Linked DNA regions of Cricetulus griseus. The protein of the gene in region 1 purifies or fractionates together with the protein of each later gene. This does not show direct contact. Links are inferred from orthologs where the notes say so. Each region holds a gene or a part of one and is shown in the gene's direction. Other genes may lie near its edges. The genes, in order: Lztr1 and Rit1.

What was found.
Region 2: the proteins of Lztr1 (region 1) and Rit1 purify together in Homo sapiens (affinity purification with mass spectrometry; 3 studies listed by BioGRID and IntAct, counting the BioPlex papers as one, with this or other methods). This does not show direct contact. The link is inferred for Cricetulus griseus from reciprocal best matches to the Homo sapiens genes LZTR1 and RIT1.

What each region holds. Positions count from the first base shown.
Region 1 is NC_048597.1:71,798,139-71,801,946, reverse strand, and holds part of Lztr1 (leucine-zipper-like transcriptional regulator 1), read left to right. Parts: intron 1-194; coding exon 195-274; intron 275-575; coding exon 576-684; intron 685-2,136; coding exon 2,137-2,220; intron 2,221-3,459; coding exon 3,460-3,517; intron 3,518-3,808. UniProt on the Homo sapiens protein: Substrate-specific adapter of a BCR (BTB-CUL3-RBX1) E3 ubiquitin-protein ligase complex that mediates ubiquitination of Ras (K-Ras/KRAS, N-Ras/NRAS and H-Ras/HRAS).
Region 2 is NW_023276806.1:65,816,537-65,821,134, reverse strand, and holds the start of Rit1 (GTP-binding protein Rit1), read left to right. Parts: upstream 1-1,681; 5' UTR 1,682-1,823; intron 1,824-1,942; exon of another isoform or gene 1,943-1,999; intron 2,000-2,176; 5' UTR 2,177-2,215; coding exon 2,216-2,321; intron 2,322-2,469; coding exon 2,470-2,526; intron 2,527-4,598.

The sequences.
Region 1 (3,808 bases):
CCATAGCATAGTGAGTTACCTGCCAGCCTGGACCACTTACAGCAACAACATAACTTGAAAAGGAAAGGAGAAGGGAGGATAGGGTAGAAGAGAGGGAGGGAGGAAAGGAAAACAAAGTTTTGGGGGTCTCAAGGGCGATGGGGCTTGGATTGCCTGGCTGACCCCTCACTGACTTCACCCTGTGCCTCTCCCAGAGCCTTTACCACTGGCACCCCACCAGCTCCCCGTTACCACCACTCAGCTGTTGTCTACGGGAGCAGCATGTTCGTCTTTGGTAAGCAGCCTTGCCCTCCCACCCCCTCACCCTCCATGAGGCTCTCTGAGCTCTGTTGGGTCAGGGTTCTCTTACCCCACTAACTGATTTTCCTAGTGTCCCTAGCTCATGGGACTGGGTGTGTCCTCTGATGGCTAGGGCAAGAAACATCAATGTGCCTGTCCCTGCATCCCAGTGCAGAGGTAATTTGGGTGGGCTAGGGGTTGTTGCTAGAGGTTTGTACATGTTAACTAGGACCCCCACACTTAAATACCAAATAGTACCCCAGATGTAACACTTTGCTTTCATTCTCTTCACCCAGGGGGCTATACTGGAGATATTTATTCCAATTCTAACTTGAAGAATAAAAATGACCTCTTTGAATACAAGTTTGCAACTGGCCAGTGGACAGAGTGGAAAGTTGAAGGGCGGTAAGTGGTTTTGCAGAGAACTTTCACAAGAAGAGAGTGGACTTAAGCCTGGGATGTGCTTCCTGCCACTTTTCAGATGGGGAGCCTGTGGCTGGGAGACTTTAGCTGCTTAGTTTTCATCACTGCTGAGTCCCATGTGGCAGGGCTAGACAGGACATTTGCAGCAGGCTGGAAGCTGCGAGCTGTGCTCAGGCATTGCCTCAGCCCAATCCCAGGTGTACACCCCTTCTTTCTCAGGAACTGGGTGGGCTGATCTGTGAGTACACCCTTCACTATTTTAAGAGCAGCTGGGAAGGTGCTGGGCCTATGTGGACCACAGAATTCCTTTTTTTTTTTTTTTAATTTAAAAGAGGACTCTGACTTTTTATTTTTATTTATTATGTATGCAGTCTTCTGCTGGCATGTATCTGGTGCCAGAAGAGGGCACCAGATCTCATTACAGATGGTTGTGAGCCACCATGTGGTTGCTGGGAATTGAACTAAGGACCTTTGGAAGAGCAGCCATTGCTCTTAATCTCTGAACCATCTCTCCAGCCCCCTCAAAATTTCTTTTGGTTGTATTTTGTTTTATTTATTTTTTCTCAGCACTGGGGATGGAACTCAGGGCCTCATACTAGGCAAGCTCTCTGTCATTGAGCTATACTCCAAGGTCTGTATCTGACTTTCTCCTTCTTTGCGACAGGCTCTAATGAGGCTAGGCTGGCTCTGAACCTGCTGTGTAGCTGAGGAAGGCCCTGAACATCTGGTCCTCCTGTCTCTGGCCCCTGAGTGCTAGGGTTACAAGTGTACTCACCATACCTGGTTTTGTGGTGTTGGGACTCAAACCCAGGGTTTCGTGTATGCTGGAAAAGCAACCTACAAACTGAGCCACATCCCCACCCCTTAGGAGGGGTTTTGGTTTTGCCTTTGTGTTTTTCGTTGTTTGTTTTGAATCAGGGTCTCACAGTCCCACTGACCTCGGGCTGGTCTTGAAGTTCTGACCTTCCTCCTTTCATCTCCTAGTGCCAGGATTTACAGACACATGCCATCATGCCTGGTTTTATCATCTGAATATTTTACACATCTGCTGTTCAGACCTCTTGTGCTATTGTTTGCATCTAGTGCCCCAGCACTGCCCTCTGAGCTCCAGTGTCAGGCCGTTGTGGCCCTAGCTGCTGAATACACAGAGCCCTTGCTTCAGGATGTTCCGATGACCTTTCCTCGTGTGTGTGTGTGTGTGTGTGTGTGTGTGTGTGTGTGTGTGTGTGTGTGTGTGTGTGGGTGTATTTTCCTGACATATATGTCTGTAACACATGCATGTCTGGTGCCTGAGGAGACCAGAAGTGGGATTGAAGTTCCAGGGGGTGGTTGTGAGTGCTAGGAATTGAACCTGGGCCTCTTGAAGAAAAGTGAGTTTTCTTCAGTGCTGAGCCTTCTTTCCAGCCCCTCCTCATGTTTTTCCTTATGTTCTAGGTTGCCAGTTGCCAGATCAGCCCATGGGGCCACAGTGTACAGTGACAAGCTCTGGATCTTTGCTGGCTATGATGGCAATGCCAGGTAGGCAAGTAGCTGGCCATGTACCCTACCTGTGCATGTCCTCAGGGGCAGAATAAGCTCTCTTGGCACCTGAGTGCTCAGGCTGGGGTAAGTTGCCCTGCTGGGTTTTGAGTCTCTCAGGAGAGGGGTATGGAGGTGAGGCTTCTGAATGGACGGACCTCCTAGCCAAGTCTGTGATCCCTGGACTTCCTCAGATGAGGAGATTTGGAACTACAGGGGCCTGGAGGCCAGAAGCATCTCAGCTTAAAGCCAGCCCTGTGTTCCTCCCTGTGTTACAGTTTCCTCTTTATTTATTGTTTTATATTTTGCTTTTGTTTTAAGACATGGTCTCAGCTGGGTGGTAGTGGCACATCCCAGAACTCAGGAGGCAGAGACAGGCAGATCTATGTGAGTTCGAGGCCAGCCTGGCCTATAGAGCAAATGCCAGGATTGCCTCCAAAGCTACACAGAGAAACCCTGTCCTCAAAACAACAACAACAAAAAGACAAGTTCTCTCTCTAGCCCTGGCTGTCCTGAAGCCCTCTGTGTAGATCTGGCTAGCCTGGAACTCACAGAGCTCCTCCTGCCTCTGCTTCCTGAATGCTGAGATTAAAGGTGGGGGCCTCCACACCAGGCTTCCTCCTTGTTTTAGAAAGTTGTTTTGGGCCTGGAGAGATGGCTCAGAGGTTAAGAACACTGGCTGTTCTTCCAGAGGCCAGGTGTTCAATTCCCAGCAAACACATGGTGGCTCACAACCATCTGTAATGAGATCTGGTGCCCTCTTCTGGCCTGCAGGAATACATATAGGACAGAACACTGCATACATAATAAATAAATATATCCAAAAGTATTTAAAAAAAGAAAAAAGAAAGTTGTTTTATTGTATTTGTCTGGTAACCAAACAGTGCATGCTCATTTTAACTGCAGCGGTGCAGAAACCAGTATCGGCACAGTGGAGCAGCAGGCTTTATGGGACACATCGTCTTTTCCCTGCCCCACGTATCTGGCTCTGTCCCATAACCCCAGATGTTATGTATAAATCTACTTCTGTTTTGGCTGGTCAGAGAGCCAGCAGGAAGTGAGAGCTGTTAGAGGCTGTGTGCTGGGATTTGATGTAGATCTTCCCCGGAAGTTCCTGTTTCTTATAAGAAAGATGGCACAGTTGTCTCCTGACACACGTGGCAAGTGGTTCTTCCCTGGAGCTCTCCCTCCCAGCCAGGCTCAGGGCCAAAGGATCCTGACTCCTCCATCCTGATGCAGGTTGAACGACATGTGGACAATTGGCCTCCAGGACCGAGAGCTCACATGCTGGGAGGAGGTGAGGGGTGCAGGGAGCATGATGCAGGTGGGAAGTCAGGGGCACTGGGGACCGGGTTGCAGCATCCAGAGGTGAGGGATAACGGAAGCTGGTATACGGGTGAGAGGTGCTAGGGTGGCATATAACAGTCTGCCTTCTTCCCCTCACCAAGGCCCACCTCTTTGTCTCCTTTACCCTTCTGCCAGCCCAACTCCAGTATTAACTAGAAACTCCAAGTGGATATAGTTTAGTTGGTAATGTAGCATGCACAAAGCGAGCATTTGATCCCCAGACACAAATAACCTGGGTGTG
Region 2 (4,598 bases), on another chromosome or scaffold:
AACACCAGCCTATGGGGGCGTTCTTATTTAACCACTAGCACAGGGTCTCGGCAAATTCTGAGACTGGCCATGAACCTCCTCCCTCAACTTCTCTAGTAGCTTGGAGGATAGTTGTTTGTTGTCACATCCAGTTCTTGAAAAGTTGCAGCAGAGTGTGAGGGTGGCACATATCCCAGAGCTCAGGTGCTGAAGGCTGGGGGCTTTTGCGTTTGAGGCCAACCTATGTTGTAATTTTTTAAAAGCAGCTTAAGAGAGAAAGAGCATGCAACAGAGTTCAAGCGGAGTTTTGTTTTTAATTAGGAGAAAAGGATCTTAAGGGGAGGAGCAGCAGAAGAGAAGAAAAAGATGCAGATAGAGAAAGGAATAGGGAGAGAAAGAAAGGGTGGTGAGCAGGGCCCTTTTAAAAGGGAATATAGTGAATAGGCACAGGTGGTCTTAGTGGCAGCAGCTGAGGCATATCCTGTCAGAACTCCAAAGGCAGGCCAGTCCAGATGCCTAAATACTAGCAGCCTGGGCTACATGAGACTGAGTGAGACCCTCAAAACAAGATATAGTAATTGCACTTGGAGCAGGATTGCTATGGTTTTTGAGGTCAGCCTAGGCTGTAAAGTAGGACTTAATGATCCCTTCTGCTCCCTCCTGATTGCCCCTTAACACTGTTATACCAAGAGACTGACTGGTCAGGAACCAGGAACTGGATGCCAGCTTAATCTGTGCACCCTACATCCTGTTGGAACAGAAAAGGGAAGTGGAGTTTGCTGTGATGTGCAATGTGAATGAAAACAATGCCCACTTATTGCTGGGTTCTCATAAATTTATGACCTGGAATTCCTAAGAGACTTGCTTTTATTTATTTATTTTGGTTTTTCAAGACAAGGTTTCTCCGTGTAGCCCTGGCTGTTTTGGAGCTGAATTTGTAGCCCAGATTGACCTTGAACTCACAGAGATTCACCTGCTTCTGCCTCTGGAATGCTGAGATTAAAGGTGTAATCCACCACACCTGACTGCTTTTTGAAGAACTAATGTGTACATTTTACCTGCATGTATGTATGCGCACTGCCTGGTGCCTTCAGGAGCACAGAAGAGGTTGGTGGATCTGTGAAACATGTTATGGATGGCTGTGAGCCACCGAGTGAATGCTAGACACTGAGTCCAGATCCTTACAAAAGCCACAAGTGCTTTCACTACTGATAATCTCTCCAGAGATCGGTTTTTAGGACAGGGACGCTGCAGCCCAGGTAATGTGGAACTGATCTTCAACTGCTTGCTGCCAACACCTCTCATGCTGGATTTATAGGCATGTGCCATCATATCTGGCTCGTATCTGTTTTAATATTTTTAAAATACAGAACTTCAACTAGATTAACTGGTGCTAAGAACATCTGGTCTTGGTTCCAAGAGCCTTAGATGTGACAGCGTTTTATGGTAAAAGGCACCGCTAGTACTTACAATAAATGAAATCCTGTATTTTGGTAAGCTTGAGGGGATGTGGTTATGTTTTGCTGTGCACCGGGTAACAGATTTTTTCTTCCCCCACCAGTAGCAAATAGCCCTAAGTTACTCACTTTAAAGGTTTCTGTTTCGTTTAGTGGAACATCCATTTATGTACGTGCAAGCCTTGAGACATAGTACGTGACCAGAGGGCTTTGCGAGTCAGAACTAGGCGTGGGGTGGAGCAAAGTGAGTGTCGGCTGTGGGGCGGGGCTCCAGGGTCCCTCCCCTTCCACCGGCGCCATCTTCCTGGACCCGGGCGGGGCACTGGGCTGTGCGGCGCCGCTCGGGAAGGAACGCGGTCTGCAACCCGGATTCGACCGGCTTTAGAGGTACAGGCACAGGTGGGCAGGGACGGGGAGCGGGGCAGCGCGGGACGAGGGGAGGCGGCAGCCGGGCGAAGACCTGGAGGTGCCAGGCAACCCCCAGGACTCATCCGGCTCCTTTCTAGTGGAACACTGCCTTAGTCTGAAGAGAAGTCCAAGTTGTTTGTATTTTCCTGGAGAAAGTAAGTTTGGAAATCTGTGCTGTGTTTTAGGACCGAGACTAGCGGGGGAGGGAGAAGACGTGGGTTTCTTGGTGTTCCTCAAGGAGCAGGGTAGGCCGCGGTGTTTGGGAAGGCGGGGGCTCGTCGTCAGTGGCCGACTGTCTCCATCCTGGATTGAATGTTTCGTGCCTTCTCTAGGAGGCCTTTCCCAGGGGCCCACGACTGCTCCAGAGGACAATGGATTCTGGAGCTCGCCCAGTTGGTAGCAGCTGTAGCAGCCCTGCAGCGCTATCAAGAGAATACAAACTAGTGATGCTGGGTGCTGGTGGCGTTGGGAAGAGTGGTAGGTAACCTTTTCCATTTGACAGAAAAGTTTGAAAAGCACCTAAGGGACCAGTAACCCAGACCAAATGGGTTACTGGCTCTTGTGCAGAGTTGCAAGGTAAAATACTTTATGGTCACTGTCATGAGTTCCATTTCTTGTTTTGAAGCCATGACAATGCAGTTCATCAGCCACCGATTCCCAGAAGACCATGACCCCACCATTGGTAAGTCAGATCCTCATTTATATTTCCAGGTACATCTGTGAAAGTATCTTAATAGATTTAAAGTTTAAAAAAAAAGTATATATCTTGAGCTTTTTTGTATATGTAATTCATACTTATTTAGAAACAAACAAACAAAAAAAAACAGTTGACTATTTTTTTTCCCTAGACTTCATATGTACATAAGCCATCTTGAGCCTTCGAGTTAGGTTGAGCATTAATAGACAAACGGCCTTTTTTTTTTTTAATGGTTGTATTCTGTATTGTTAGATTAAAGGAAAGTTTAAAGGCTACTCAATGAAACCTTTCTTGCTATCACTTCTAAGGGTCTGACATGAGAGTAACCCTATTAGTATGAGTCAGCTGGTTTGAACTTCCACAAAAGGAAGCAGAAAAACAAGTAGAGCCAGCCTACTGACCTCTTAGAACCGAACTTCCACTTGAAGCTCTTCATTTATTTCCTTATCCCGGCAGCTCATTCTATAGCAACATCTTGTGTGGCTCTGTAATCTTTGGCTGTCAGATGCTGGTAGAGTGCCATTAGACTAAATCAGTCCTTTTTTTTTTTTTTACACTGGGGATTGACCTGAGACTTCAACCCAACCATACTAGGCAAGGGCTTTACCACTGAGCTTGATTTACCCAAGATTACCCAAGATTTGTTTTGTGTTGTTTTCTTTTGGTAAAACGTTGAGCCTAAGCTAGCCTGAACACATAGCACTCCTTTTGCCTTAGTCTAGGACTTCAGACATGAGCTACCCATGCCCAGTTCTATAGTGTGGGCTGTATTGTTGTTGTTAGTTGCTATCTTGTGTTGACTAAAAATGTTCCTCACTCCTAAATCACAAGGAAGCAGTTTTTGGCTTTGTTTTTTGTTGTTGTTGTCGTTGTTTTTGTTTTTTTGAAGCAGGGTTTCTCTGTCGTGGTTGTTCTGGAACTGGCTCTGTAGACCAGGCTGACCTCAAACACAGAGATCCACCTACCTCTGCTACAATTAAAGGCATGTGCCACCACCCAGCAGCAGTTTTGATCCTGAATGATTATATAAAAGAAAAGTAGGGCTGCAGAGGGCTCTGCCATTAGCTGAGAGTGATGGCACACATCTGTAATCCCAGCACTTGGGAAGCAAAAGCAAGAGGAACATGAATTTTCATCAGCCTGGGTTACATAAAGAGTTACAGGCCGGCCAAGAATACTAGTGAGATCCTCTGTCAAAACAAAAACAAAAATCTGCCATTCTGTGGCTGTGATCATTTTGATTATCATATGCTTCTATAGGTTTGGGAAAAATGGAAAGGAACACTTGTCTTTTTAGTGAGTTGTATGGGGGTTATTTATTTTTTGTGCTAGGGATCAAGCCACGTACATGCTGTACCACTGAGTTGCACCCTAGCTCTGCTATATCAACTTGAGAACATTGTTTCAGAGATTCAGACTGTGGTGTGGGAACTCTGAATACAGTCAGTTCAGGAGTTAGGATCATTTACTTTGTTCTAAGCAGTAGCTCCAGGCCACCCACTGGTGGCCCCTAGTGCAGAGCCCAAATTCAGAGTTGTCTCAGCTCAAGTGATACTTCACTAGAGGGACATTGCTTGTGCTAGATGGCGAGGTGGGGTCAGTGTCTGCCCTCTGCCCTGCAAGAGGAGTGTTTGCCACCCCTGCCCTCCTGCACTGCAGGAGTGTGGGAAGACTGGCTGACAATCTGCCACACCCACCTAGTTATTCTGCCCTTGTTTATAGTGAGAACTAGCCACGCCTAGAGATTGGCTGGAAAATGTCACATGGTCACCTCAGTTGGACTGGAACTTAGACCCTGATCTCAGACTTCAAGGGTCTAGTGGCCCATATCCTAACATCACTCCTTGGTAGGAGGGTAGAAATGTCCTACACATCCTTTATTCTATTCTCCTTCCTACACAGGTTTTTAGAGCTATCAAAGTAGGCTGAATTCTCTTTGGTCATGTCCATGGTGCTCTCTTTTCTTGTTCTGTGTTATAATTCTGACCAATTGCTCAGAGCTCATCTCCCTTCGTTCACAGGTACCACTGACTGTCTTTTATTTTAACATGGTAGCT